Linked DNA regions of Drosophila melanogaster. The protein of the gene in region 2 interacts with the protein of the main gene of each other region in a pairwise test. Each region holds a gene or a part of one and is shown on either strand. Other genes may lie near its edges.

What was found.
Region 1: the proteins of CG5001 (region 2) and dmt interact in a two-hybrid assay, tested with the Drosophila melanogaster proteins (one large-scale study listed by BioGRID).

The regions. Positions count from the first base shown.
Region 1 is NT_033777.3:9,705,559-9,721,927, reverse strand, and holds dmt (dalmatian), read right to left. Parts: upstream 10,787-16,369; 5' UTR 10,719-10,786; coding exon 10,238-10,718; intron 10,179-10,237; coding exon 8,347-10,178; intron 8,322-8,346; exon of another isoform or gene 8,163-8,321; intron 8,062-8,162; coding exon 7,801-8,061; 3' UTR 7,253-7,800; downstream 1-7,252. Other genes in the region: hyd (hyperplastic discs), read left to right, coding at 1-2,214, 2,307-2,451, 2,531-2,764, 2,825-3,297, 3,387-3,597, 3,652-4,398, 4,455-5,411, 5,478-5,554 and 5 more; trbd (trabid), read left to right, coding at 12,413-12,540, 12,604-13,192, 13,253-13,460, 13,517-14,243, 14,309-14,553, 14,610-14,821, 14,888-15,036, 15,102-15,180. UniProt on the Drosophila melanogaster protein: Regulator of sister chromatid cohesion in mitosis. Probably involved in development of the central nervous system.
Region 2 is NT_033779.5:1,178,241-1,193,827, reverse strand, and holds the start of CG5001 (uncharacterized protein), read right to left. Parts: upstream 8,072-15,587; 5' UTR 7,813-8,071; intron 7,575-7,812; exon of another isoform or gene 7,376-7,574; intron 2,426-7,375; 5' UTR 2,294-2,425; exon of another isoform or gene 2,290-2,293; intron 2,230-2,289; 5' UTR 2,145-2,229; coding exon 1,919-2,144; intron 1,859-1,918; coding exon 1,630-1,858; intron 1,573-1,629; coding exon 1,203-1,572; intron 1-1,202. Other genes in the region: Tgt (tRNA-guanine transglycosylase), read right to left, coding at 8,311-9,505, 9,574-9,662; CG5126 (uncharacterized protein), read left to right, coding at 9,909-10,299, 10,357-11,333; CG4896 (uncharacterized protein), read right to left, coding at 11,542-11,658, 11,724-11,973, 12,035-12,833, 12,902-13,315, 13,379-13,615, 13,705-13,831, 13,891-13,968, 14,303-14,376 and 3 more.

The DNA.
Region 1 (16,369 bases), on a different chromosome or scaffold from region 2:
AACATATTAATGGCTTGCAACGACGACTGCAGCGGAAACAGCAGTACCATTGTGCTTCGTGATGGCAATGGAGCCCTATATCCCTTGGCCAAGGATTGCCTTGGCTCGATCAAGGATCCGCAATGGTTTGATCTTCCTCCGGTGAAGTCAATCACTATGTCCACAATCTCCCTGCCGGCCATGCTCTCCGGCGTGAATTTGAAGTCAAAGGTATGCATGACTGCTTTGCTCTTTGATACTCAAAAGCTTATGCCGCACATCTTGCGGTGCGATGTCAAGAATAGCTTTGCCGCCCTCGGTCGCCTGGAGAGGGAGGATCAAGCGGATACGGCTCTTGTCGTAGAAGAACGTTGCGATGGAGCCCGAAACATATTCCACGCTTGCGTAATTATGTGCGCCCCATCCTCAAACAAGGATTCCCCACCAGACTCTCCCAGCGGTGGTGTCGAGAAGAAATCACTAGTGGGACTCTCCGTGGCGCGTTCCATTCCAACTGTCTCGACAAGCGCTTACGTTAGCAGCATCGCATTTGGAGCAAGTGCGTCTTCGAGCAATGAAAACTCCAGCTTTGCAACTATGAGTTCATCCGCTGCCGGCTCCGCCTCATCGACGAGCAGGGATAATCGTACCAATCTGCGCGACATGATGAATCGTCTAATAAATAGCGATCAGGCTGAACAGTCTGGCAGCCAGCCAATGGCTACAAACAACGAAGACCATGCCTACATCCCCTGGCCAGCTGAAACACCGGCGGCTAGTAATCTGAGCGCCAGCTCTTCGCAGAATGTCTCAGACAGCATTGAAGATGATATCTCAAAGATAATTCCGTCCTCCTCCCAGAGTTCCATGCTCTCCAACATCAAGTTGGGGTCCCCTACCTACACCTTCGACCTGGCTCAGCGGCGGGAGCATGCTTTGACAATCCTTCAGCAGATGTGCGTAAGTCCAGCCCTTCGTCCGTACCTCTGCCATATGCTGAGCACTAAGGATGCGCAGGGCCAAACGCCGTTTATGCTATCCGTTTCGTGTCGCGCCTACGAGGCAGGAATCATACTACTAAACACGATTCTCATGCTGTCCGAGCAGGATCCGCAGCTAAAGGAGGCCATGATTTTCCCGAATGGTTCACCTGCGGATCAGTCACCTCTGCATGTCATCTGCTACAATGATACCTGCTCGTTCACATGGACAGGAGCCGATCACATCAACCAGAACATTTTCGAGTGCAAGACATGCGGCCTCACTGGATCCCTGTGCTGCTGCACGGAATGCGCGAGAGTCTGCCACAAAGGACACGACTGCAAGTTGAAGCGTACGGCGCCGACTGCTTACTGTGATTGTTGGGAGAAATGCAAGTGTAAGGCTCTGATCGCTGGAAATCTCACAAAGCGCTTCGCACTGCTGTGCAAACTAGTATCCTGCACAGATTTGGTCACCAAATTTAACTCCAAGGGTGAATCGATTCTTCTTTTCCTTATTCAAACGGTTGGACGCCAGATTGTAGAGCAGCGACAGTACCGCTTTAGTGTAAGGGTTCGCAATGTTAGCACCGCTGCCACCGGAGCGACCGGAAACAATTCAGTGATATCAAATCGGAAGACCTCCGCAGCCGAAATTGATAATGATATGCCGGACCATGATCTGGAGCCACCGAAGTTCGCCAGAAAGGCTTTGGAGAGACTACTGATCGACTGGAACGCCGTGCGCTCAATGATCATGAGCGGTGCGGAGAGAGGCGATGTACCGAATCCAGCAGGCAGTGCATCGGAGAACTCTAATTCGGAAGGCTTTAATATGTTTATCCAGACGCAGCATGGCTCTACGCTTCTCGACAAGTTTACCCACAGTTTGATCGTAAAGTGCACTAGCGATCATTTGGACACTTTGCTACTCACCCTGGTGCGCGAATTGCAGAACGCAAGCGTGTCCAATCGTAGCAAGGAAGCTGAGGAAGTAGTGCGTCGCTTCGTGCGTTCCGTAGCACGCGTTTTTGTCATTTTCAACCTGGAAAAGCAGCCTAATCCGGAGAAGCGAAAGTCGCACTCATCCTGCAACAAATACGTGCAGAGCTGTGTTAAAGTATTCCAAACGCTGCACAAGATATCCATCGAGGAGTTATGTGAGGTATCCGAGGCTCTGATCGCTCCAGTCCGACTGGGCGTTGTGCGTCCAACAGCTCCGTTTACGATGTCATCGTCGAATCTGGATGTACGTGTAAATATGACCAGCCTTTCTATAAGATTATAGATTTGCGACCAATCCATACTAATTTAACTAGTTTAATGACAATTATCATATTCTTTTAGAACTCTGACGATTTGTTCAGCGTTGATCCTTTAGCCCCCTCTAACGTGGAGTCTCCTTCTGAGCAAATACTTGTCCACGATGCTGGAAACGATCAGAGCGCCAATTTTAATATTCAACAAAACTACGATGTAGTTGCTATGGAAAGTGAGTAGTTTTCTTATAGTTTTAGAAAATAGCTATATGAAATTGTACAAACCCTTATGAAATGTACATTGAAATCCAGCTATACGCGACGCCTCCGAATCGGAAGAAGTTATAAACCGGGAGGCTAATTCCCACAATCAAGACGATGAGCTAATTGAAAATCAACGAAATGAGGACGGCATGCAAGATGACGAGAGCGATAATGACTTTACTTTCAATGACGCCGAGACTGAGTCCGACTCCGATGACAACCAAAGCAATCAAGAGGTGCAGAGGAGCGTGCAAGCAGGAGCAACCGTTGGCTCAGAAAATGGTTAGTTTCTTGAATTTGACTTAATTTTCTATTTACTTCATTGAATATGTTTTCTTTTAGACATTGGTGTTCTCTTCCTAGAGGATGAATCGGGAGACTCCTCTGCCCAAGAAGAAGATGGATCGGAGGATGGCGAGTCCGACGATCAGTCCGACGAGTTCAATTTCAATGAGCAGCAACTTGAACGCCGCTCTACCAACTCGAACGCTCGCAGCGATCTGGCTCCTCAAACGATGCAATGGGCCATACGCAGTCGTGACACTGCGCGCTCCTCCGTGAGGGTGCCCACCGGGTCTAATATGGTTTTTATTGACCCCATGGCTCTGCGCCGCTCCACTGTACCCGCCAGCACTACAGTCACTACCCCATCGATTGAACCACACACCATGGCGACAACGGCCAGCAACTTGGCACGGGCTTTCGGAATCACAATAAGGCAAATATCCGAGCTTATAAGCATTTTATCCTATAACGTACTAAATGACATCGAAACATCATTAAAAATTCAAAATGATGAAGCAATCGCAGTCCAAGTAAGTACCGAATAAAATAATTCCGAAATGAATTAATTTCGCTCTGCGTACTACTGAATATAATTGCAATTTAAATTTAAATTTTACAGGCATTTGTGGAAAAGCGTTTAAAGGCTACGTGGGATTGGATGTTTACGGTAATGGACGGTACCGAAGCACAGCTAAAGTTCGGAGCTTATTTGACCAACTACACGGATCCCAACCATCCGCTGCATCCGCTCAACCTAAGTGCCCAGGCTTCGAGTAGCCAGACTCCGGCTCCTGCCACATCGTCGTCAGTTAATGGTGTAAATATTATGGGTAAGTAAGACCATGTACTTGCTTTACGATTATTACTAAGTTTCGTATCCAAAGGATCCAATTCACGCCGCGACTTCTTCACCTACTGTTTATCCCTGATGCGCTCACACACCTCTGAGCACCGAGACGCCTTGCCAGTGTTGGATATAACAGCCTTGCGGCACATTGCCTATGTACTCGATGCCTTTGTCTACTATATGCGCAATGATTCAGGCTTCTATGATAAGCAAGATACCATTTCTGGCCGTATAAACAATTTGTCACCTATGACTGAGAGCTATGATACGGACGACGAGTTGGCTAATCTAGAGGAGTTTAACGCCGATGTTCAGATGTCCGCTAGCAGCATGCCTTCAGGAAGCCAGGGCACACGCCGCCATGCATTCTTTGCTCGATCTGAATCGACATTAAGCTTGGGCTGCTCAGCGCCAGAAGGCTTTGAATTGCCACTGGATATGGCCATGCCTCTCGCCGATAAGCCGCACTTGCTACAACCAAATTCTAAGCGTCAGGAACTCTTCGCAAACCTACCGCTTCTCGTGACCACGAATGCCAACAACAGCGGTGCCACTAATGATGGTGATGGTGGCAGCATTTTTGATTATACTCCAACTAGACTGGGATTCTCGAATTCCTTGAAAAGGAACGAGCGTGTTTACGAAACAGTCCCGATCGATTCTAGTAAGACGGGTGATGGAAATGTAACTAATAAGGCTGAGGGCTCAACAGACTCTAATATTTACGTACAATTAAAGAAGAAACAGGGCTCGGATGATTTCAAATCCCACAAAGAGGCTGACGGTGAGTAAGAGTGTATGCGGTAAACAATTTACAAACATTAAATTTTCAATCCACAGGCAATCAAAGCAAGTACGAAAAAGTCGTATTAATGGAAACTGATGACAGTCTTCCAAGTACAAGTAAATCGACTGAAGCATTAATGGCCACACGACCAGAGGTTATCATAGCGCCAAATAAAGCCTCAGTGTCGCCAGCGACTGCCGCTCGCAGCGTCATAGTTCTCGCAGGTGGTTCCTGTTTAAAGACAATTGATTCCGACATAAACAACTACTCGGCTTCAAATCTATCGACCGCAGAACAAGCCAAATGTGATACACAATATCAAAAGTCAACATCAGACCACCTGTTATTATTTCCTGCTCGTGGTTCTCAGTTTTACCAAAGTAATTTTTCGGAATTGCCGTCGTGGAACTTTTTACTTAGCCGCTGGAAGCTAACTCTGGACTTATTCGGTCGCGTTTTTATGGACGACGTCGGAATGGAACACGGCTCTGTGCTGCCGGAACTGCGAGGCTTTCCCGTGAAGGAGATGCGTTTCCGTCGCCACATGGAAAAATTGCGCAACGGACAACAACGTGATTTGGTGCTTTGCAAGTTGGAGCGCAATCGTGAAAGCTTAATTGTTCAAACGTTCAAGGAACTGAATACCCAGTTTGGCAACCAAAGTCGGCGCATCCAGCCGCCCATCACATTCAACAGAGTAAAGGTGACATTCAAAGACGAGCCGGGCGAGGGATCGGGTGTAGCGCGCAGTTTTTACACATCGATCGCAGAAGCATTGCTGGCCAGTGCTAAGATCCCCAACTTGGAGTCCGTACAGGTGGGCACCAATCATAGCAAGTACGTAGTGCCGTTCTCGAGCATCCTGCGCAGCAGAACAGTATCGGGGTCTAGTCGCGATCAGTCCACTCTGCAGAGGCGTGGTTCCAACAGCAAAATATTGTGGCGTTCGGCCCGTGAGAGGAAGGCATTGAATTTGGATGCCAGACCGTATACTCCACCAAATAGCTCAGGTAATCTATAAAATCAATCTTGTTCTATGTATTATATTGACCCACTTATTGGAACTGCAAATTTAGATAATGCTACGCCGGAAAGCCTGAATGATCACTTGTCCGTTCACCTACAACAAATTGGGGAACGTCTTTACCCGAAGGTAAGCGAATTAATCCAATTGAAGTTCATAATATTAACAGTCCGACTTGATCAACAGATCCATTCGATAAACCAAACGCATGCACCGAAGATAACAGGAATGCTGCTGGAGATACCCACTCCGCAGCTCCTGTCCGTAATTTCCTCAGATGAGACGCTCCGTCAGAAAGTGAATGAAGCGATAGAAATAATCACGTTTAAACAAAAATCTGAGACCAGTGCACAAAGTAGTCAACCAAAAAAATCACCATCTGTCGTGGTAGTGGATCCCGTTGATGATGATAATGAACCATTATTTTACTCACCGGGAAAGCGGGGCTTTTACACACCACGCCAAGGCTTTGCATCATTCGAGCGCATTAATGCATTTAGAAATATTGGAAGGTAAGCTAAGTGCTCCCTTATTCGATTCACTGCTTTAACGCCGCCTATCTCTTTTCTCAGACTTATTGGACTTTGTCTACTGCAAAACGAATTGCTTCCACTGTTCCTACAAAGACATGTACTAAAATACATTCTTGGGCGTAAAATTAAGTTCCACGACTTGGCATTTTTCGATCCAGCATTGTACGAATCTTTTAGACAAATTATTCAAAATGCCCAAACAAAGGAAGGCGAGGAAACTATAAATCGTATGGAGCTATGCTTTGTGTAAGTAATCCCACCTTACTTGATAGTTTAGGCTCTAAATAACCTGCCATTTCAGTATCGATTTGATGAAGGAGGAGGGCTGTGGTAACAGAGAGCTTATCCCAGGAGGGCGCGATGTCGCTGTCACATCGAGTAATATATTCGAGTACGTCAGACGCTATACAGAATATAGACTAATCAAATCCCAAGAAAAGGCACTGGAGGTATGGGCAAATATTGCGTAAAAATGTATAGCCTTATTACAACAAAATATTGTCTACCATTCACAGGCACTGAAGGACGGAGTTTTTGACGTTTTGCCCGATAACAGCATGATTAACTTAACCGCTGAGGACTTGCGTCTGCTGCTAAACGGTGTTGGTGATATAAATGTTTCGACACTAATTTCATACACTACCTTTAACGACGAATCTAGCGAGGGTCCTGATAAACTTTTAAAATTTAAGAAATGGTTTTGGAGTATTGTGGAGAAAATGAACATTATGGAACGCCAGGATTTGGTAAGAAGAAAGATGGTCCAATGAGCTTCAAACATTCATAACAAACACAATTCTTGCAGGTTTACTTCTGGACCGGCTCTCCTGCGCTTCCAGCTTCGGAGGAGGGATTCCAACCATTGCCATCTGTCACCATAAGACCTGCGGATGACTCCCATCTACCGACTGCGAATACTTGTATCTCTCGGCTGTATATCCCTCTTTACTCCAGCAAATCTATTTTACGCAGTAAAATGCTGATGGCCATTAAATCCAAAAATTTTGGATTTGTATAAGCGATTGGAAGTCTTTCCCATCTGTATAAGCTTCAAATTCATTTCTTAATTAACTTTAGTTTTTTTTTGAGTTTCGACTTTCGTCATATTTAACCATACCATTCCCATTTCGGATTATATATTGTTTAAAATTTATTCGAATTTGAACAATTTGTACGTAACATTATTGAACAAGATTGGCTCGGGTCATGACGGTCTTGCTTGACCCAACGTGTAGTAAAAATATGAAACTCCCCAACATCCATTGTAACCAATAAAACGGCCAATTAGGTAATAGGAAGCCTATGTTTTAATTATTAAACTTTTAAATAAAATATGTTTTCTAAAGTATGACTTATGCACATGTATATTTATCGATATCGATTCAATAGAAATTTGAAGAAAAAACCAATAAAAATAAGTCCACCTTATGGAAATTATGTATGATATAAAATTGACTTCTATTTCATTTGGAAAAATTTTCCCTTGGACTAACAAATAGTTCAATTCACAAAGATTAAGATTTTTCATTTATTTAGTTTAGTCATAATGATAGGCTATAATACCGAAACATCAAAGCTGTACATAATCCAAGCTTTTGATAATAAAAATACATGCTTAGCTTAACCTAGAATTGCATAAAGTGCACTGCAAGCACTTGGTTAGTTACATTAGACTGTTGTCCTTATAAATATTCGAGGAAACGCAATCTTCCTAAATACATTTATACACAAAACAATAAGGTACCACAAATAACTCATAAAAACGAAGCACATTAAATTAAAAACGACTACTTCCCCTTATCAGCGACACAAAAAAATATAAATAATAAACAGGCAATGCGATTATTCAATGATCACTGGGAACTTCTCCACTTCCTCGCATTGCTTGTTGAAACTGGTGACGAACTGCTCCAATTTAGCCTCATGCTCGATGTCTCTGCGTGGCCGTTTAACGTGATGCCGCTTCTTCTCCGGAGAATCCAAGCTCTTGTCGTGCGAGTCCTGCTCGTCCTCGTCCTCACTTTCACTTTCGATGTACAATATCTGCACTCGCTTCTTTCGCTTACGTTGCGGACGCTCCTTCACATAGGTTCGTCTGGGTTGCTAGAACAGGTTGAATTTTTAAAACAATTAGGCGCCGTTTGCCAAAATAAAAGATTTCAAATGTTGTATACAAAACTACAGACTTACGACTAAAATTTTTATTTGTGTGAGCGGCTTACTACCGATCAAAGAAAGACTTAAATCTTTGCGGCCCTGTTTGCTCAACTAAAACGTTAACGTCTCAGTTTTAAGTTAATCTAGCGTTATGAGGTCAGTGTCTACACTCACTGTTTACAGTGTCGACGCTTTCCCAACGCTTGGACGAACCCATTACATAAATCCTACCTTATCGGCAAATGATTGCTCCGGCTCGTCCTGGTCAACCCTAAACAATCCCATCGATTCCCTAGCAGTGGGTGCAGCAGGTTTCCGTTTCGCCGGTCGGGGCGGCGCAATCATAGTGGAGCACAACATATATCTGATGTCGGTTTGCTTCGAATGTGATTCGCCCAGGCAATCGGAACGAATAGAGGTATATGATACTTGTGGAAGCTCACCATCTCTGGGTCGCAGCTCCGCAAGACGATGGAGCTTATCATGCAGATTTACATTTTGACTCAGCCCCGTGAAATTGGCTGGCGAATCTTGGCTTTCGGTGATAAATTCATCGAATCCAAAGAGGTTTTGTGAAGATGATGTTCGTTCTTCCGTATTCGTTTCCTTTTCTTTTGGTATATTTTCACAGGGCAATATTTCGTTGCATCCGAAAGTATTTACTTCCGTTTGATTACGATTAGCTAAAGCAGGAGTCACTTCTCTGTTTAAGGACATACTGGTAGGAGCGATACCTTTTGAGGGAGTAGTTGACTTTCTAGGTATATCTTCACATGCAAAATCATCATCGAAACCAAAAAGATTCGACCGCGTTTGACTGCGTTGCGCTGGGGATGACGTCGCCATTGGACGAGGTGCCACTCTGGTAGGAGTGATTTCTTTTGAAACAGTGGCCGTCACGTTCTTCTTCCAAGACGGCAGTGTCACTACTTCTAGTATGTTAATATCCTTAAAGGGCGTTCGTTTCTGCAGCGTTCTCCGAGGATTCGGCAGGTGCACAAAGTTCTCCGCATTCTCTTCGCTTTCCTGGTCATTGATCGACATCGATTTGCTAATTGTGGGAGGGGGACGGTTCTCCTCATTCGAGTCGTTCGCATTTGAGTCATGATTTTGCTCGTGCAAAGGCGGACAAATGGATTCCTCGTGAGGGATGTTCTCAGCATGCTCTACCGGCGAATCTGGCACATAGACATGCCGACGTTGCACATGATCACTGGAGTACGATGGCATCTGGGAGTTGTTGAAACCAAACATGAAAGTATTGGGCAATGGTGAATCGTCGGAAACGCGCCAGGGGGATTTGCCTCCCGCGGTCCTAACTGCATTTGGAGACTGGTGGGCAATAGGCGACAATGCAGTGGTGGTGGCACTAACATCTGTCACCGGAGGAGCTCTGCGATTCAGCGGCGTGCTAACCAATTGTCGCGCCATGTTGATAAGTTCTCGACGTCTGTCTGTAGATGGCAGTGGATTTTGCGCCTGGGTCTGGTTAAGCATTACGGATCGGGCCAAATTACTGTAGGCTCCTTCGTGCGCTTGCTTAGAAGTGCTCGGCTCCACATGTACCTGGACGGGCACTTCGATGGGCTGCACGTATCCGTGCTCCGAATCGTTGCTATAATCTTCCTCGGGCTCGAAAATGGTCGATAAGGAGCGTGATGGCTTTTGAAGGCGCGGTTCTATGGACTTGGGAACGACCTTGACTGGCTCAGGCTCATTGTCTTTTGTCGAAACCTTTCTTCGATTACCCACAGGTCGGACCTTCTTTGCTGTTCTTTTGGCTCTCGGTTTGCCGATTTTTCTTGACCGCACCATTACGCAGGCCTTTCCATCCTTAACCAAACGCTGAATTATGTCTGCCGCCGGATCCTCCCTGTCACTGTCATCTTCGATCTGCGACTGCGACAGAAAATCGAAAACGTTGCGGGTCACCGATGATCGTGTCCTGGTTAAAGGCTGATCTCTGTGGAAGAAACGAGGTGGTTTTTTGGGCGAAATCTCAGCTGCCGGTCCACTAGGGCTTTTACTCCTTATGCGTTGCTGACATGGCGATGTTTCGGGACCTGCAAGTAGTTGTGCTTATCAAGAAAAGTCCATCATCCGCCTGGTGAGAGCCTCTTACCTGCCACATTTTCCTTGATATTTTGGGGTTGCGTTGATTTCTGTACCTTCGAAGGAATGTACATCGTCGAGTTGCGAGCCGGCTCAAAAGTGCTGGCATCCACATCAGGCGCATCATTTCGAGAAATTTCGGATACGACACCGTTTTTTACCTTAATGCGCCTTATTTTTACCACGCATTTTCTTATGCGACACTCTGGCTCGTTTAGGGCTGTCAAAGATTGTTTGTTTGATAGTTTCGTGGGACGCCCGGGTTTTCGTATTATCGTGGTCAAATCAGCTCCGAGTTTCTTGGGACGCCCGGGTTTACGTATTGTGGTCAAATCAGCTCCGATGGACAGCTTCTTGGGACGCCCGGGTTTGCTTATCGTTGTGCTTAAGTCAGCTCCGATGGACTGTTTCTTGGGACGCCCGGGATTGCGTCTCGTTGCGGTGTTCACATCTGGCGACGGAACACACGGCACCGGCCGTGTTCTTACCATTTTAAGAATATAATTTGTTTACCAAATGAAATTCATGTACAGCTCCCGCCATTTTATTTACTAGTATGACCATCCCCCGATCTCTAAGACTTGCCATGAAAACCACTGAACACCAGTAGGTGTGAAGCTTGACTAACCAGCTAACCGAGACACTTTTCAACACTGAGCGCCAGGGACGGAGCACCGATAGTTGTCGATAGGCGGACAGAGAACCAGATGATTGGCCTCGCAATAATGTAAAAAATAAATAATTAGCTGTTTCCAAATAATCCAAATTCCAAATTCCTTGCACTACGATCCACCGTGCGTGTGTTCGTCGCCGTGAATGTGTGCGGGCAGTTTCGTTTCACGCGCCCCAAGCAAGTACAGCTGAAAATTGAGAAGGAAAGCAAGAAAGAAAACCCCCCAAACTGAAAATCGAGTGAAAGTTTTCTCATCGTCTTTGTTTTGTAATTGTGATTTTCCTGCCTGCTGCCAGCGCTCATTACTGGCAATATTGGATCGACGTCGACATAGTGTCGCTGCTGCGGGCGCGGGTGGCCGACGGCGACTATAGCAACTACACCTTATAGCTACTATAATACTAATGCTATACTCGCGGTCCCTATTGTGATTGTGTTATATATTTAAATCGACTCGATTCGAATCGAATCCAATCGCTGTCGTGGTCGCAGTCGCATTCGCGTTTTCTGGGACTGCTGCAAAAGGCCTTGCGATTTTCTGCGCCAGGTACTGTGTAAAGACGTCGATGTGGGAAGGGGGGTGGAGGCGGTTGTGGGATGGTTGGGATGGCACGGGGCGAATCCCAATAAGAAACTAGCGCGAAAACTGGCATACCAGCGTACATACATACGTACGTACATCGCACGCGACACATGCCATACATACATAGGCGAATTATAATGGCAACAAATAAATGCAACCGACCCAGCAGTTGAACCACTACCACCTATACCACCACTACTACCAAAACCAGACCCTATCCAATTCATTCCAATCCAATCCCAGGCAACGAGAACCCGAAGGCTGACTGTGACGCCAGTGGGGGAAATGGAAATGGAGCCAAGGCAGATGTACATATCTGTGGATGTATCTGCGAATTATGTCTCAGGGTCAAGGACACTGCTTCTGCCTCGCTAACCGTTGTTTGACCTTATTAACGAGTCGGAAGTGGTGGATTCGCCGCTCACCGACTTTAGGGATACCCTTTCGGTTCGCTTATCCAAAGAATAGTAGCTTAGTAGATACATTCATTGGTAGATAGTTGTCCCCCAAAACGAGTCATGCATATAGTCTTTATACTTTGCAAAATAAGTCAAGGTAAATTGAAATGTCCTCCAAATTGTAGATTTCCCTGCGTACTTATAAATCCAATATTAGTTTTTAGATAATCTTTTTCTTTTGAATGCAACATCTCATTAACTTCCGACAAAAGTCAACATAGCTATACATTATTGATCAAACTCTTCGTATCTTCAACCAACTTCGACTAAAATGATTGTCTAAGCTTACAATTGTTCAGAAATTAAACTATTTTGAAGTAAAAAAGGCAGCCAGGTGGATTTGACTAGTAAAAGCATATTTTATGGGATCCCCTTACTTGGTGACACTCGTGTATCCCATATCAAATATTCAACGTATGATCCCTTTCTCCTTGGCAGATCAACTGCATTGGCCGGCTCCGCGCATAAACAATGTGCGATACCAAAGACGATGCGCAGAAATGGAAATGTGAAACTTGCACCTACGAGAACTACCCATCCTCGCTGAAATGCACCATGTGCCAGGCGTCCAAGCCGCTGCTCAACGAGGACATCTTCCGGTATGACAACTCTGACGATCTATACCTAATCTTCTGCTAATTAATACTTGCTAATTCTTGCAGTCTGAGTCCAGCCCAGGAGAGCTGCACCGTTGCGGAGGAGGCGGCTGCCGTCGAAGTAGCCGTAATGTCGCCCACACCTTCGTCCACGTGCTACTCGCTCCAGCCGCAGAGCCAGGCACGGCAGAGCAACGTGGCGGACAGCGAAAAGTGGCCCTGCAAGGTGTGCACCTATCTCAATTGGCCGCGGAGCCTGCGCTGCGTTCAGTGCTGCACGAAGCGCGGTGGCGAGGCGATAGAGCGTGGCAAAAAGGACATGGATAACGAGGCGGACGGGGATCGTGCAGGAGAGGCGCTGCAAGCCCTTCGCATCAGCGGCTCGGAGGAGAACCTGGCCAATAAGCCGGTTCAGCTCATCGGCGCCACGGCCTCCCATCGTTTGAGCCTTAGTCGTGGCATAGACGATGCGACCCATCTGAACAATCTCGCCAATGCGTCTCACAACCAGTCGCAGTCCCAGCACCGGCAGCCTGTCCTACAGCAGCAGATGCAGCTCCAGCTGCAGCCGCAGCAACAGCGGGAATCCTCATCCTCCGCCGCCGTCCCGCCGCAGCAGCAGAAGCAGTGCTATGTCTCCAAATGGGCGTGTAACGTAGGTTTTCATATCCCAACCAATTCGCTCAGATGTACTTAAAGTTAGAATTTTCCTTAGTCTTGCACTTACGAAAACTGGCCGAGGAGCATCAAGTGCTCCATGTGCGGCAAGACGAGGGAGCGGGAGATTAGTGGGTCGCAGAACGACTTGCACGCCTCATCCAGCCTAAACAGTCAGGAGGAGAATCAGCAACAACTGCAGCAGCCAAACGTGGATACCGTCAGCGTCAATAACTCGTTCAATAAGAAGCACATTTACCAACTGGGTAAGAGTTTTTAATGTGATTTCTCTGGGTATGACTAATTGATATTCACTTTCCAGGTTCTTCGGAAACCATCAACAACTGTGATACGCTGCAAGAGCGTCAGGAGCGCCGCCAGCGTCAAATCCGACGACAGGTGGACTGGCAGTGGCTGAATGCGTGCCTGGGCGTCGTGGAGAACAACTACAGCGCTGTGGAGGCGTACCTCTCCTGCGGTGGCAATCCAGCCCGTTCGTTGACCAGCACCGAGATTGCCGCCCTCAACCGCAACTCGGCCTTCGACGTGGGCCACACCCTGATCCACCTGGCCATTCGTTTTCATCGCGAGGAGATGTTACCGATGCTGCTGGACCAGATCTCCGGTTCGGGGCCGGGCATCAAGCGTGTGCCGTCCTACGTGGCTCCCGACTTGGCGGCCGATATCCGGCGCCACTTTGCCAATACCCTGCGCTTGCGCAAGTCCGGTCTACCCTGCCACTATGTGCAAAAGCACGCCACCTTCGCCCTCCCCGCCGAGATTGAGGAGCTGCCGATACCCATACAGGAGCAGCTCTACGATGAGCTGCTCGACCGCGACGCGCAGAAACAGCTGGAGACGCCGCCGCCGGCCTTGAATTGGTCGCTGGAGATCACTGCTCGCCTGAGCTCACGGATGTTTGTACTGTGGAACCGCAGTGCTGGCGACTGCCTGCTGGACTCGGCCATGCAGGCCACCTGGGGCGTCTTCGATCGTGACAATATCCTTAGGCGGGCACTCGCCGACACACTGCACCAGTGCGGGCATGTGTAAGTTAAACGAATTTGTTTTAACAACCGTCAGCTTATTAATAGTCTTGATACTCTTATTGTAGGTTCTTTACTCGCTGGAAAGAGTACGAGATGCTGCAGGCTTCGATGCTCCACTTTACGCTGGAGGACTCTCAGTTCGAGGAGGACTGGAGTACACTACTGTCATTGGCCGGCCAACCCGGCTCGTCCCTGGAGCAACTGCACATCTTTGCGCTGGCGCATATCCTTCGTCGGCCGATTATCGTTTACGGCGTGAAGTACGTCAAGAGTTTTCGGGGCGAGGACATTGGATACGCGCGTTTCGAAGGTAGCTATTAATTTTTACGTCGCTGTATTGCATTTATTTGATTGCCTTATTTCTAGGTGTCTACTTGCCTTTGTTCTGGGATCAAAACTTTTGCACCAAGTCACCGATAGCACTGGGCTACACACGTGGCCATTTCAGCGCCCTGGTGCCGATGGAGCCATTCACTCGCATCGATGGGCGGCGTGACGATGTGGAGGACGTAACCTATCTCCCGCTAATGGACTGCGAGCTGAAACTTTTGCCCATACATTTCCTTACACAGTCGGAGGTGAGAGCTTATTCAAATATCCTGTAGAACATTGTGAGCTTAGACATTTCCGTTCCTTGCCTGCAGGTTGGCAACGAGGAGTCAATGATGCGTCAATGGCTGGACGTGTGCGTAACTGATGGAGGCCTACTGGTGGCGCAACAAAAGCTAAGCAAGCGTCCCTTGCTGGTCGCCCAGATGCTGGAAGAGTGGCTAAATCACTACCGCCGCATTGCGTAAATATGACTTGCTCTCCTTCCGGACATAGACATGCTAATTAAACCTGTAAACTTTCTTTCAGACAAGTGATAACGGCGCCTTTCATTCGTCGCCCTCAAATCACACATTACTCCAGTGATGGCGACTCGGATGAGGAGTAGAGGATATGATGCGGCACATCCGTCACCCAGCTTCTGATTAGGATGCTGTGCATAGAATTCAATATCCTTATTTTGTACTTTTGGCGATCGTTAGCAGATTTTTGAGACAGGAATAACAAGTGCAGATCCTACACTCTTGCACTCGCAGCTAGCTAAAGGAAACTATAGAGAATACATATGCATATATGCAAGCAGTTGAAAGTTGTAGTTGTAACTAAATTGAAAGCAAACTAAAGGTTAAGTAGCAACGTACGAAAATAGATTGATCGACGTATGTATATCATATCCGTTCCCAAGTCAACGTTCGTTGATTTTAGTCAAATTTATTCACACTGGGTCGTCGAGGCAATATAGACCACATTTACTACGAAATTGAAGCTATACACTGGTAGATTTAATTACACTCACATGTGAAACAATCCATTAAATGATTACGTGTACGAAAGGCAGATGCGAATTTAAGCGGTGGAATTTGTACACCTATGTACGCGGTAGTTAATGTGAATACCCAAGCTCCGGACTTAAAATATTGCAAATCTCAATGTACTATTAAATTTTAAATGGGTGGCGAACACACAACATAATTATGCAGCGGGTGAAAATGAAAGCGTCATTGAAATGTTTATTGATAGTTTTTAAAACACTTTTTGGAATTATTATGAATCATTATACATTCATGCCTATAAATATAATATCTATAATTATATAACATATATAGAAATCCTATGGTTCTAGACAGTTGAACAAAGGGCCAATAACATAATGAATTTTATTCTTATTGTATTATAAATGGAATTTTATCTCATTATTATTTTTGTTAGTAATGTTATTACAATTATTATTATTAACTTCTAAGAAAGCTTATTGTGCAAATGTACACGCAAAACGCATAAAAAAAATCACTTATTTAAATAAAAGTTTTAAGTAAAGATTTAAACGGAAACAAAATGACTATAGTTGAATTTATTTTAATAAAGTATGGACTTTCCTACTTTATTGCCCAAACTAACTTTACTAGTAGATAGATAAAAAAAAGTAGTTCATTATTATTTCTGTCTCTATAAAGTACAAAGTAAATTATAAGCAGCATCATTTATGGAATTACTTGTTATTTTTATAGATTATCAAATTTATAGGGAACGGTACAGTGGCACGAACGGTGTCATCACTAATACATGCTCTTCCACAG
Region 2 (15,587 bases):
TCATCAGAATGAAAACAATACAAGACCAAAAACGTACAGCAAGAAATTAATTCGAAACTCATTGACTTCGATATTATCGTAAACGATGATGTAATTTATGAGTCGCATTAAATTTACTGCCGCACAGAATATGACAGAAAAAAAATGGAAAACGCTGTTCGCAATTATGTGGATGGTCATATATGGAGCTCCAATTGCCTTTTGGCTGCTCGATTGGGGCGAGCGGAATCTTGGAGCGCAGATTTATTGGCCTCTATCAACCAGATTGGCAAGTAAATCTAGATATTTTTATTATTCATACATACATACATATGTATGTATGCGCTTTTAGGCCGAAATATATTTCAATTAAAACCATTCGCATTGTCCACTCGGCGCCAAATAACCGTGTCAAATATTGCTATATAGAGGGAGCAACATGACACTTTTAGCTCAAAACCAGAGCCAAAATGCAATTCATAAATTCAAAGCAGAGCCAGTGGGAAATTATTTGGCCAACTATGCCAAAAATGGCTGGCAGCGAGCGAGCAGCCCGAAAGTATTTACTAAATTTGTCGCACTAACAAGCAATAAAATGTTAAAAATCTGCGAGGCAGCCAACTCAACTATTTAATCTACTTAATGCAATTAACAATTTTAACATGACTGCCAACTCAGCGGCGTGTCATTTCAGCTTGTTCGCCAGTCTCGGCCAGTTTTGAGCCTTTTTAAAATTTTCAATCTGACCATATATTTTTAACCCCCAAGTGGGCTGCTGCCCACAAAAAATGCTGTGCGAAGTTTTGCGCTTCGGCGACCGTGTAAAAATCTAACACCTCAGTGGGAGCCAATCTACGGAGCAGCCTGCTGGCCAAAACCCATTCTCCGTCTCCGTTAATTGAAACTTGACCATGTCGACCAATTTGGCGGCTGCTTTGCCGCTCGGCGCGTATATATATGGTAAATCTGGCCATAACCATCTCGTCTGCCCGATTTCATTACAATTCGATTTAGGCACTGGCTGCGCCTCTAATTGGACGCCAAGCTGTGAGAACCCAGCTCTGAGAACTGGGCTCTTAAGATGAAGTGGAATTGAGGCACCAATCTTGGGAGGAACATGACCACAGTGCGTTGGTTAAGAGGTGCTTAATCAGCAAGGGCTAATACTATAGTCTATAGTATCCCAAGCTATTGGATACATCAGGATCAGGATCAGGACTCACCTGCTTGAGCGTCAGTCTCGCCGTGTAGCGCAGATCGCTGCCCTCGCGCTTGAACATGGCGTGCGGCTTGTCCCGGATGATGAACACAATGTCGGCGGGAATTTTTCCGGGCGCCTGGTCGCCCTCCTTCTGGAAGGTGACCTTGGTGCCGGACTTCCAGCCGGGCTTGATGGATATCGCCAGGAACTTCTCCTCCTTGCGGGAACTGCCGTCCGCCTGAACGATGCGCCGGGAGATTTTCATTTTCTTAACACAGCCGTGGTAGATCTCCTCCAGCGTCACATAGAGATCGTGTTCGACGGGCGGATCCTGCTTCTGCTCCTTCTTGAACGGCGTGTGCACATTGAAGGAGTGTGATCTGAAAGAGGGCCTGCGAGAGATGAGCAAGGAATTCCAGGGAGTACAACCTGCGCGGGGATGGACCAACCTGAAGCCACTTCCCAGACCATGTCGCGACCCAATGCCGCCAAAGGGCGAGGAGAAGAAATCGGGTTCCGTGTCCAGATCGAAGACCTTCTTGTCGAACAGGTTGTCGCCCATGTCGAAGAACGAGGCGAACGGATTGCTGTTGCCAAAGAACTGGGCGAAGGTGGCCCGCGGATCGCCGTGGAACTGATATGTAAACGAGTTGCTCGACGGACCGCCGTTTCGTGTGCCTGCAAGTCAGCATTTCAAGGTTAGCTATGGGAATGGTACTTAATGGTGTGTTGGCATACCTCCGCTCTTGAGACCATCCTCGCCGTATTTGTCGTACACCTCCCGCTTGCTCTTGTCCGAAAGAACCTCGTACGCCTCGGCGACCTCCTTGAACTTGTCCTCGGCGTTGGCGGCTTTGTTTTTGTCCGGATGATAACGCAGGGCCAGTTTCCTGTAGGCCTTTTTGATCTCATCGTCGGTGGCAGTTTTGGGCAGACCCAGGATTTTGTAGTAGTCCTTACCCATTGCAGGTTACTTCTGGGGGCGGGGGCGAGTGGGTTCTAAGTATGTGGGTAAAGAGTTGACTCTCAAGTTCACTGTAGTCTAGTATCTGCCAATTGGAGTGGGTATGGTATTAGAAGGGATCGCTTCTCTCAGCGTATCTAGTTACCTACAATAATATCAGTTTTGGGTTTCCATATATAACGAGGACCTGCTTAGTTGCTATCCTTCCCTTTATCCTTATAATGGCACATGCATCTTGTCGTTCTCTCTGGCTGTTTCACTGCTCTACTATCGCAAAAGATCTGCAAAAAGTCGAGAAATTGTGTATATATACATTTAGCTGTGTATAGGTAGTTCCATTCGGATCATAAGACGCGTCACTAAATTTCAATGTTGAACCGCCCACGCCTTTCACTAATTTTAGACCGGCCAGCTAGAAGTATTTATTCACTTTCCGGAACATTGAAGCTCTTCTATGCGCACTTCTCACCACCCTTACCAAATACACACACTCTTTATTGATGGATACTTTAATATATAATATAATTTAACTCAGCCATTTACTTAATATTATTAATATTTTCGCTTGTTTACAGCGATGAGAATTGCTCGCGAGCCAATTTGCATTGACGATAACATCTCCGAGAGATCTGAAGATCTGGGGTGTCCAATTGAGTTTAGCATGAGCCATTTGAATTGGAATTGACGATGACATTTATGACATCCCGAGATCACTGGGGTTGGAACAGCCCGTCGAACTATTCGTATGGCTTGATCAGTTGACAAGTCTATCAGGGGCGTGGAGACAGCTGTAACATAAAACTGTTCCTGCTTCGATCTACGAAACTGCGGTTTCCTAATAAATCAATCTACTGAAGATCACTGGACCTTTCATCGCGAAAAGTTAATCATCTTGGGAATCTGACAGAATCTGTACACAACCACAACAATCATGCCGCATTTATAGTTATAACTGGGCGGGAATAAGATTTTAAGGAGGATGGAAATAAAAAACATCGACTATAAATTGTCTGTATATAATACATATATTTACGAGTAGTTTATCTCTTTTGTTTTTATGATCAACAGCTATCATAACATCTCGGCATTCTATGATCCATGATAAACATGATGATCGCCGAGATCTTAATTGCACTGAGAAGGCCTGTCATCACTCAAGTTCAAGATCGCGTCCCGAAAATTCATTAGCATTCAAGATGTCAACACTCGGCCGGCAATCCGTACTCGAAACGCTCTCCAGCCTTGGACTTAACTGATTTCATCTTGGAATATCATTTCGAGATACATAGCGTTGACAATTTTGACGCCAAATGTGCGCCTTGAGTTGAGATTTTCATGGGGAGGGGAACGAAGCACGCAAGATTTGCTATTGGCGATATTGACAGCGGGCGATTGATGCGATCAGCGCCATTCCAAACCAATCCATTCCATTCCCGTCCAGAAATTAGTCAGTCATTGCAGTCATTGTGCACAAAATTGCCGGCGGATCGCGGATCGTGAGATACATTCCGGATCGCTTCCAAATGTGTGCCATATTGAGCGAGCAGGGGACAAGGTCGCAGATATTTTTGATATTTTTTTCTGAATTTTCCCCCGACACACTGCCAACATTTTCGTTTATTGAAAGAAAGTTTTTCTGTCTTTTTAGCAAATAAATAAAATGAGATATGCGAGAGATGTTACGCAAGGCGCGTTTATGCTATGCGTTTTATATGTATGTTTTGCATACTCCGATAATTGAATTATGTATTTTTTAACGGCGGAGATTTTCGCACGCGTTTCAATAATTCTCTTTATGATTCTTTATTGAATTATAGCCATTGTTTCGTGCAAAATTGCGGGCTTAAGGTGCAAAATAAATTCATGCCGATTGGAAATTACTTCGGCCATAAAAAGCCGCTTTTTATGGCAGTTACAACATGTTTCGGGTGGGCGGAGCCACCCACTTCCGCATGTATTATTCACCAGACACTGGCGGCAGCTCATTTATTGATTGCCGAACAACATTTGTTTAACAATTTATTGGACGCTGCGTTATTAGTGAATTGCATTTGCAACGTTTCATTGTCATTTCGTTGCATGCCGCACCCGGTTTATTGCATTTTGCAAATCTGCATTTGCATTTCTTTCCACTTCTGCCAGCATTATAAATTGTCGTAGGTTATGAGAGGCCAACTGGGGCTGGAGGAAATGAAAACTGTTTGTGTCCCCGGATTGCACTAATTGAATTGAACTTGATTTATTAGTGCGCGACTCGGCAACTTTAATTCCCAATCCCGTTCGGTGCCTCAACTAATGCCCACATGCCAAAATTGAGAAATGGAAATGGAAATTGGAATTAAAAGAATCCGAATTTAATAATGAACGAATTTCAAATTGGTGGAGTGATTTATGTGTGGCCATTCGGATCTCTTATTTATTGCCTGGGGCCTGAGGTTTCTCAGATAAAATCACTCACTAATGCCACAGTCAACATTTGTCTCCTCGGATAAACAAACCCGATCGCCACTTTAAACATTCGAACCAGAGCTAATTGATTGATAAATAGGCAAAAGTTTACTTGAACTATATACACCAGTTTTTTGGATTAGAAGAGCTCTTTCGTTACATCTCTTACTTAAGCAAAACTTCATTACCAATTTGTATCTGATAGATATATATATGTTTGTATATTTCAAAAAAGTACTTGCCAGCTTTTTTTTTCATAATAATTTGTAACTTTCCGTTCATTTATCTTTTGCTACATTCCACAAATCTGAGCATTCAAGGTTGTCAAAAATCTTGATCCCATGAATCTCATTCAAGTCCAGCCTTTTACTCTCGCTCTCAAAGATACGAATGCGAATCATGTTTTTTCCCTTTATTTGTATTTTTCAAAGTCACCAACAAAAGCCATTCATTGTCAACTGATGGCGATTGGCTGAATGGCAATGTTTTTGGCCTAAAACCATTCGAAACCAACCAGAAACCGATCAAACACCGTGAAGTTTGTTCACCCACACTCAGAATAAAAATGGTTGCGACAAGAATCGAACATTCGGCCGTGACCGAAGGCAAATCGTTTAGGCCAAGCAGCATTAGATGTCCAAAAATCCGCCCAAGGTCTAAGGTAACTACCAATTTCTGGGGTGGGTGTTTCCAAGTCGCAAATCCGCTGCAAAAATAGGTCCAATGACTAAGCGAGTTTACCTTTGGACGCGGAGCAAGTCGCCCACACAATCCGCAGCCAAACATTTTCGATTTTGGAGAAATGCTACTCGTCGTTTGGACAAGTGAATCAGCACTCAGCCATTTCCATGGGATTGGAGGTGATTCTGTTTTTCCGGCGCGGTTTATCTTGCAGATGAACCTCTGTTTTCGCCGGAATTCGTGCTAATTTGCAAAGAGCATTGATTTCTGGGCGGCAAAACATGCAGGCAAGCATTCCGTTTCCGTTTATTTATGCAAACAACCATTTTGCATAGAATAACTATTAGCAAAGATTTTTAAATTCAAATTGCTGCCTCACCAAAAGATTGAAAAACTTGTTTCAGCTGTTTGGAATATGCGTTCCTAGTGCAAAAATGGTTGTTGATTTGTTGGGCACTCTGATTAAAATAAGTTGCAATGATGTTTACTCAGGCTTTTAGTAGAATTATTTGCAGAGTATTCGGCTTATGGAACATTGAATTTATTTAATTTACAATTTAATACACTTTTTTGGATTTCAGTTAGCTTGCCAAGTGAGTGAATCTTCCCAAGTGAGTGATGAGCTGTATTTTAATTTCCGCTCTTATAAACAGGGTTCATTAATTCATATAATTAAGACGAGCTTTTTTTAGCTGACGACTGAGAGATTGAAATTAATCAATTTCCACAAACAAAGCCGCGAAAGTTTATTTCCTTGTGTCTTTCGCCATAATTACTTGCTTAATTGGCGCCAGCTCTCACTCTCGTTTTTTCTTTTCGAAAAACGACGAACTTTGCATGTGTTCTGCGGCTCGAAGACCGTCAAAACAATTCTGCGACCACGCCCCCGCCAGTCTTCCGCCCACGCAGCAGCTGTTCGAAGAGTGGCAGCGCGAAGAAATGCGAAAAGTACTCTCCTCCGCATATCTTTTCTCTTCCACTCGCGAATGTGTCATAATTTATAAATACTGGGCAAAAACAAAAAGCCAGCGGTTCGAACAGAGAGATTCTGGTGTGATTATGATTAGCGGCAATCATCAGAGTTTTCCTTTTATTTTTACACTCTTCGCTGGTAATTTGTTGCCACTTGGTATTGGCCACTTGCCTTGGTATTTGTATTTGGCTGGGACTTTAAGTTTGGAGGCCAGCAGTCTTTTTCGCCAAGTGCCTTCAATCATAATCGGCTCCATTGTGTGTTTACTTTTTATTTATGATTTTGTGGCCAGCGAATTTGAGTGTTTGAAAAATGAGGCAATAGTTAGTGGACATCAAAAAAAGCAGAAATACTCATTTGAGTAGTTTATTTATGGGATTATTTTGGAAGGTTCGTTTGGCTGAACTCTATACACACTAAGTACTACATTTTGTGTTTTGAAAGTGATTCCCTCTGATCTCTCCACATACATATATTCCCCGATTTGTGGTCCACCCTAGGGGCACCTTTAACTAAACCGAATTTCAAAAACACAAATCACTTCACACATTGTGAGCACACTGTAGAATTTAGAATGGAAGCCCCATATGAATATTCCAAAGAATCGGCATGAAGATTTCGGAAAATAATCAGGCAAACTGAACTCAGCAGCAGCGAAATTGGTGAGAACAAAAAAAAAACATATACACAAAAATAACTAAAAGTGCTAAAAATAAAACTTATTTAAAGAAATGAAACCATGAAATTCAAAAACACACAGGCCAAAGCCAAAAACGATGGCAAATACAAAAATATAAATAATATCGCTTTTGGACTTGGCAGGTATACTTGGCGTATACTTTATATAAGGGTTTTTTCGGTTCTTTCCGCTCCCCGCGAATGCTCCAATCGGAATCCTGGCCACAAGCAAAGGCGACAGCGCCATAAAAAGCACGATTGTTTGTCGACTTCGAAATGTTTTTTCATTTTATTTTATTCGCTTTTACCACATTTGGCAAACGAAACGAGACAAAATCACACACACACACACACACTAGCCACTCCAGCACTCACACAAACGCACACACACGCACAGCAAGTCCGTGATTAATTGTCAGTGGAAAAGCAATAAATTCGGGTGGCTCCTTACAATCGATTGGCGGCTGATCGGGCGTATGCTTGATATGGACTCGCAATCCTTTCGACGGCTTTCAGAATGTATTATTAGCGCGGGCTTCTCGCTGCCAATTTACCGCCAGATGCGTGCAGCACTACCGTTAGTCAGTGGTTCGAATCCGCGACAGAAACAGCGATAAAGTGGACGCGACAACGCTTGGGGACTCACTGAACGATCCACCGAACCAGCAGCAGCAGCAGCAGCACCACCACCACCACCACCACCGCCACCAGCACCAGCACCACTTCACTGCCCCGATCTCGCGCTCCCGCTCTCAGAGATCTCGAGTCGCGGGTATCTCTTGTCCCCCAGAGAGTTCAGTCCAAAACAGATATGCGCCAAGCACTGAAGAGAGCTCCGAGCCAAGTGGAGAGGTTTCCCAATCATCTCCATTCATACCGCACACCTACTCTAAGAACGGACGAAAAGAGGCCGTGGCAAAGGCGAAAATCAAGTAGAATATCACAAATTGGTCGGTCGTTCCACGCGAGATCCACGATCGCCACCGATTTGCACTATGCGTCATACTATGGCTACATGGAGCTTTTTCCCATAGGTAACAACGAGTCGAGAGCTTTACGCAAGAGCGGAACAAACGTGGGCAGAGCAGAGATGAAAACCAGTATTCTGCTACCCTGCTATGGGGTATGATAGACTAACCTACTAACCTTAACTTTAAGCAAAAAAATAAAATAAGCAAAATAAATTGTATCCACACAGTATGATTGAATTTTATGATGTAATTTATTTTTCCTTTTTTATTCTATGTCTAATTAAGTATTTATTCTTATGAAAATAACTTACATGACATTTGACATGTAAAATACATGAACGTATGTGTCAATTAAGAAATGCCTCTTAGTCGGAACTTTGGGTTATCAAAACACAAAGGTTGCTATGTGATGATGTTAGCTGGAGGCCACCTGCTCCTCCGCCACGTCCTCTGTTTCCCGTCTCTTTTCGGTCTTTGGCTTCTGGTCCTGCTCATCAATCCTCTCCGGATCCGCAGGCAGCTGGATGTTTACGGCAGACAGAGCTTCTCGTATCCAAGCCGGAACAGGTTCCGCCTTGAAGTGTCTCGCCATAAAGTCCGCGACGAACTGGGGGAACTCATCGCGCTGAATGGCCTCCCGCATGCTCCTCATCAGCCTGAGCTGGTAGGCCACGTTGTGTATGCTCAACAGGGAGCTGGAGACACTCTCGTTGGTGGCGATGTGGTGCAGGTACGAGCGTGTGTAACGCCTACACGTGCTGCAGTCGCAGTCCTTGTCAATGGGCTCCATGTCCAGTTTGTACTTGGGCTGCTTCAGGTTCAGCTGCCCACTGTCCACCAGGGCGCAACCAAATCGAGCTGTCCGGGTGGGGAAGACACAGTCGAACATATCGATGCCCAGGGCCACGCAGACCACCAGATCCGCCGCAAAACCCACGCCCATCAGGTAGCGCGGCTTGTCCTTGGGCAGATAGCCAGTGCACACGTCCACCATACGCCAGAAGTCGTGCTTGCTCTCGCCACCACTTAGCCCGCCCACGGCGAAGCCTCGAACCTGGCGCTCCATGAGAGCGGAAACGCAACGCTGACGCAGCGGCACATCCAATCCTCCCTGGACGATGGGGAACAGCGACTGGTCATCGTCGCGGGCATGGGCCTCTATGCAGCGATCCACCCAGCGAATAGTCCGCTCCATGGCCTCCTCCACCCGGGGGCCAGTTGTTGTGGTCTTGACCACATCATCCAGCTGCATCATAATATCCCCACCAATGGCGTTCTGGATTTCGATGGAGTGCTCCGGCGTCAGCATGCACTGGCTGTTGTCAAAGGGCGACCGGAAGTTCACACCGTGCTCATCGATCTCGGCCAGCTGCAGCAGGGAAACCATCTGAAAGCCACCGGAATCTGTTAGAATGGCCCTGGGCCAGCCCATAAACTTGTGCAGACCACCGGCTTTCTTCAGTGTCTCGATTCCGGGCCTCAGGCCCAGGTGATAGGTGTTCCCCAGCAGAATCTGGCAGTTCAGCTCGATGAGCTGGTCCGGCACGATGCCCTTCAAGGTTCCCTGAGTGCCCACGGGCATAAAGACCGGGGTGTTTACCTCGCTGTGCCTGTTTAGGAGAGTTGGTAATGCGGCTTAGTCACAGTTTTCAAGGCCTATCTTATTGCAGACGCTCACCTTAGGGTCATCAGTCCCGCCCGGGCTTTGGAGACGGAGCACTCGGCCACGACCTTGTAGGTCAGCGGAGGAATGTGGCTGGGACCCATTGAGTTAGCAAAGTCCAGAAAATTCCCCGTGAAATGTCTTATGTTTACGCGCAATACGCCGGCGGTGCACGTTTCAATCGCGATTCTGTGTGACCACTTCGCTGAAACCGGGAATATACCAAAATCCTGCGCGTGGCTATCGATACCACTTTGATTGGTTGCCCGGACAAATATACACCTACTTGCGTATATTGTCAGTTAAGATTACCCATTCAGATAGCAATTGATTCCTGCGTGGAGGTCACGATGTCGACGCAACAGCAGCAGTTAGACTATATAGAGCGCCACCTGGTGTACGACATCTTCAAGAACTTTGGTCCGAGTGCTTCGCTGGAATCGCACAGCGTTGAGTGCTCCAATGGACTGGACGGCTTCATGTCCGCCTTGTACACCGTTACGCTGGACGTGGTCATCGCCGAGCGCAAGCGGACGGAGGTCGTCCTGGTCAAATTCATGAAGGGAACGGAAGAGTTCCGGGAGAGCAGCAACTCGTACATCCAGTTTTCCAACGAGATCTTCGCCTACGCCGAGATCCTGCCCGCCTATGAGAATGTGCTTCGGACGAGTCACCTGGAAAGCGAAGTGGTAAAGAACTGGGTTCCCTGTTGCTACTTCGCCAGGTTTGGCCACGTTGAAGGTGCGCATCCCACAAAGACTTTATCCATGACTACATCGAATGTTTACTTTTCTGCAGGTTTAGGGAATGGTAGGGAATCGGTGCTGGCCCTAAAGCATCTCAAGGGCGATGGCTACCAATTGGGGCCAAGGCTAACCCTTCGACGGGATCAGCTGGAGGCCATGGTAGGACTAGTGGGTCCGTTCCATGCTCTGGGCTACGCCACGAAAATCCTCCAGCCGAACGTTCATGCTCGTTTGCGCGCCGGAGTGGTGGACATGCCCTTCGTGTCCAGCTCAGGAAAGGGCATCTTTGATGTCCTCTATCGCGTGGCTTTCGATCGGTTCTACGAGTTCTACGACCGGCAAAAGGAGCAGCTCCTCCAGGGGGCAGACCCCGGATTCGGGGCCGCCATCGAGCGACTGCGGGAGAAGTACTTCAAGCAGCCAACTCTCCTGCTGGAGAGAATCCGCACCAGCTCCTTTGCCGAAGATCAACCGGACAGCCACTTTGCCACCTTTCTGCACGGCGACTACAACAGGAACAACGTGCTGTTCCACTACGGCGCTGAAGATAAGGTGGACGCTATCAAAGCCATCGATTTCCAGGAGCTGCGCTTCAGCACTACGGCCATTGACCTGAGCTTCTTTATGTACATGAACACGCCATCCGAAGGAAGGAAGGAGATCTACGCCGACTTGTTGCGCAAGTACCATCGAAGCATGATCGAAATGTTGGAACTGGTTCTGCGCCGAAACCGGAACGAGTTGACCGACGATCGGGTGGACCAGTTGCTACAGGAATACAGCTTCGAACGCTTCAATGCCCACTTCAAACGATATGCCTTCTACGGACCAATGGTATGCATGCACTTCCTTCCCTGGCTGCTCGGCACCGAGAAGGATTGCGCCGAGTTGTCCCGCCTCTTCGAGACGGATATGCACGGCCCCGCCTTCCACCAGTTGTCCTTGGACATCGCTGGCGATGAGGCGAACCAGGAGATCTTCAAGACCGTTCGTCACGCCTATGAGCATGGCTACATGGACGAGATTTAGATTCCCTTGCACAATTCCATACTTAAAGCATTTACAATTTAAATTTAAACCTAATTTGAGACTGTATTTACGAACTATTTACAATTTGAACTTCGCAACTAATGCTAAATGAACGCGACAAGGTGGAGGAAGTGTAATCGAGGTAAACAACAATGCTTAAATGCCCCTATATTCAAGCGGAATAAAATCATACACTTTAAGAAGAGTCTCAGGCGTTCTCATAACGCTGCTTCATCATCTTTTTGATGTAGGATTTGTAGTCGTTCCCAGGCGCCATATGGCCAGTGTTGTTGCCCAGCCCCACGTTGTTAGAACGACCATCAGCCTGTGGATACACATTGACATTGAATTATCCATATTTTGCCATTCGTCGCCCTCGTCGACTCCTACCTCTATGATCTCGGTGCGTCCCTGGTTCTTTTTGCCCAGTCCCTGGCCCTCCGACCAGCCCATCTTCTGCATCAGGCGGCTGCCCACGTTGGTCGAACTGATGGGCATGGCTGCAGTGGCGCCAAAAGAATCCTTCTGGCGCGACTGCAAAGTCTTTATCTCTTGCTCGAAACGCTCCCGGCTCCTATTTGGTGGAGGAGGATCGCTCTCACCGTACTTCAGCCTGCGTTCCTTGGCACGATCACGATAGCTAAGTACGGGTAAGTAAATTAGTGAGTTTATCTCCATTCTAGCAGCATATTCCCACTTACGATAGACCCTCATCCGTGCCAGCCTCAACTGCGGGATTCCGTTTAAGCTTGTCCAGATTCTCCTTGTGTAGATTCGACATTTTCAAATGCTTCTGCAAGATGTCCAGCGATTGGAAGGCACGCATGCAGAGCAGGCAAGTAAGTTTTTGGAAGTCCACGTAGTCAGATTCATCGCTAATGGCTCGTTTAGTCCCAACGCTAGCTTCAAGTGCTTTCTGATTGGCACTATTATCATCTTCCGAGTCAGAAGGTCCTCCATAAGCACCAACCAATTTGCTTATCGCTGGAGGTCCTGCCTCCGGTACATAGTCGTTGAGCTTGCCAAGCTCCTTCTTCTCAAGGATTGAGAATCCCACATCAGCATATGCCCCTTGGGAAGCACGGGAGGTGGTGGCCGCCTCAGTATCCGACAGGATAGGCTGCGGCGTTGCCACTGCTGTGTAGTCCTTTTTTTGGTTTAGCTGCTTGGCCCACTTCTCCATGTCCTTGACGATCTTCTTGGCCACCTTCACCTTGTCGGGCTTCCCCCCAGCTTCCTCCTTTTCTTTTTCCTTCTCCTTTGCCTTTTTGGCCTCCTCCTCCTTTTTCTCGGCATCGGCTAATACTTCCTTGAGGGCTGCCTGAGTGGAAGCGGGTGTGGCCAGCACATAGGTGCTCCGCTTCTGATCCCAGTACAAATACGCGCCCGTCTCGTTGTTGTAGTAGTACTGCGAGTGGGCATCATAGTAGAGTCCTGTAACGTGGTCGTAGTAGTAGCCGGAGGTCTCGTCGTACTGGTACTTGGACACATCGGGAGTATCTAACCATTGAGCATGAAATATTCGACATTACAGGAGCGCATAGATAGAATAGTGTGCGCTCACTTACCGTATTTCTTGCCATCATTCCCCTTGGGAGCACTTTCACCCCTGGCAAGGAAGGCGACCTTCGCCTCTGTCACCGAAACCGTGGTCTCCATCTGGCTGACCTTCCGTTGCTTGCGCTGGATGGCCGAGAGAGCAACGGCAGCGCCGGAGTTGGCCTCCGTCACTTGACGATCTCTGCAGTTCTTGCTTATTTCAGTCGTGTAATAATCCGTATAGTACTGGACGTAGTTAGCATGCTCCAACGGATTCGAGGCATACACGGATGCACTGTACTCCGCAAGACGAGGCACATCCGCCAAAGTGTAGGCCGCCGTAATGGCCGACGGAGACATCGCTGTTTCACCTGCTCTAAAAAAGTTGCCTTCGGCTGGCATCATTTGACGGTTTTCGGAGTCAATGCAGTAGGTGACGATAACTGAAGGGCATGGATTAAAGTTTTGTTTTTTAATTATGAAATAATTAAGAAGTAATAATTTACCTGTTTTGTCGTCCAGAGTGAGTGGCGGATCCAACGCCGTCAGCCCGTTGAACACGTTCATAGAATCAATGAGTGTGTCAAAATTGAGGTAGCAAATGCCCCGAGATGCATTGGTTAGGGCGTCGCGACTGACCAGCACCTTGCTGACTGTTTTGGCCAGTTCGGGCAGGCGCTGCTGAAGGGCAGTTAGCACGCCCTCCTCGTTTGTCAGCGCGTCCAAGCCGCGAAGCATGATCTCTGCATGGGGAAAGCGTGGCAGGTTAGTGGGGTATTTAGCTGATTAGCTAGGAAACGGCATTGAAAGATATTGCTCATGGTGGATATACTTTTTGTGAGGATTTGGCTGATCTCGTCGACGCCCTCGCCGGCTCCGTAAAGAGCATTCTCGCTCTCCGCCCGCGACGCATTGCACATGTAGCATTGGAAGCGGCGCTTAAAGTTGCTGGCACCACACTGAAGGATGGCGAAAAAAGCTAATTATTGTTGCCAATCTGTATCTTAACGGAGCATACCTTAATGCAAGTCCAGTCTGAGATGCGAGTGTGACTATACTGCATGGTGACACGATGATCGCCCAGTTGGAGGACTCCCTGAACGGAAAAATAGAAGAGGTAAAATTGGAATTAGTAACTGAAACTGCTGATCAGGCAAATCGTTCACAGACTACACAGTCACCAAGATTGCATCTGTGTTTTTCGACATCACGCAGATGCTGGTTGCTTCCTTTACGTAAGATTCGATTCCGCCTTTGAGTTCAGTTCCCTGATCTAAGACAGAAAAATGGAAGGGACAGGCAGCCCACCAGCAGAATTGAACTCAAGGCACACATTTTTCAACAGTTGATGCCAAGCTATCGGATCTTGCCGTCATTTCTATTTTGGCGGATACGAGAAGATTCAAGATTCTTGTGGTTTTTAGGGATACCTGGGTTAACTCCATCCAACGAGTCGCCTCCTCAACGGTTTTAAACTCGACAAATGCAAAACAGCGTGAGGCACCTAAATTTTAGATAGAAGTAGATACGAAAATGTTTGGTCAAAAAATGTTGGTTGTATCATTAGCATTGTGTCATTTTTGGGGATTGTGTTTTTGTTTCGGTTTGTAGTTTTCTATATGTTTTTGCTGATGTCGAAGCCAAGTATAATTGAAATTGCTATAAGTCCTACATCGAACATGTTGCTGGGCACGCAATACTCACGCTTTCTCTACAATTTCACTTTAAATCGAATGTAACACACGGAAATGTAACCCACCTGTTTGTTGCTTCCTCATCACGCGAATGGATGTGGGCTCCAGGTCGACCTTGATCAGCTCGCCCATGATCTGTGGAGGATTACTTGGTTAATTTTACATTCGTTCTGCTTATCGCTTAAACATTACGTCTGCTTCCGTGACGTGCTTCTTCAGACCGAAGAGGATTATGTTGTTCAAGGGCTCAACGCTGCTGCCACTGTTGTAGGCACCTCTCTGCCTGAATTCGCTGGCCATGTCGCTGTCCTCGTCCGAGGAACACCGTCTATCTCGATCGCGCTCCTTCTCGCGATCTCTGTAACTGCTGCTGGAGTTACTATTTCCATTATTATTGAACTGCCGCTGGTCATTGCTGCGGCTGAAAGGAAAGCGATTCTTTAAGGTCATACAATGAGCACTTTGTCGAATAAATTTTCGTTCGGTTCGTTTGAAACCATCGTTTGCATACTATCCACTGTAATTAAAGGCATCCAGCATGAATATTTCATAAGATGATTTGTATGCATTTATGCGAACAAAGGGAAGTGTACATTACTGAATGGGTTGATTTCTAATTATTTTGACTTTTATTACAAGTGATTAGCAAATGAAAGGTCTTTTAAACTAGTGAAAGAGGAGTCCTCCTTCTTATGGAAGCCTTGTGAATGGAAACATAGAACTTAGCTTAATCTTAATCTCAGTGATAACACTGAGCACGATATGGGTAATATGCAATATGTATCATTTCTTACCTGCTGCGCTCCGATCCCCGATCGAAGTCATCATGGTTGCGCTCTCTCGAAACGCGATCGTAGTTTTTCCAGCGGTGATCGCGGTCCTTATCCATATCCTGGCCACTCTTGTCGTAGTTGCTATCGTGATCCCTGCGACCCTGGCTATCAGCATGCCGACGATCGTATTTGTCCTCGCCGTGGCGCTGGTCAAGGTTCTGTCTCGAGTTGTAGTTTCCCTGATCCTC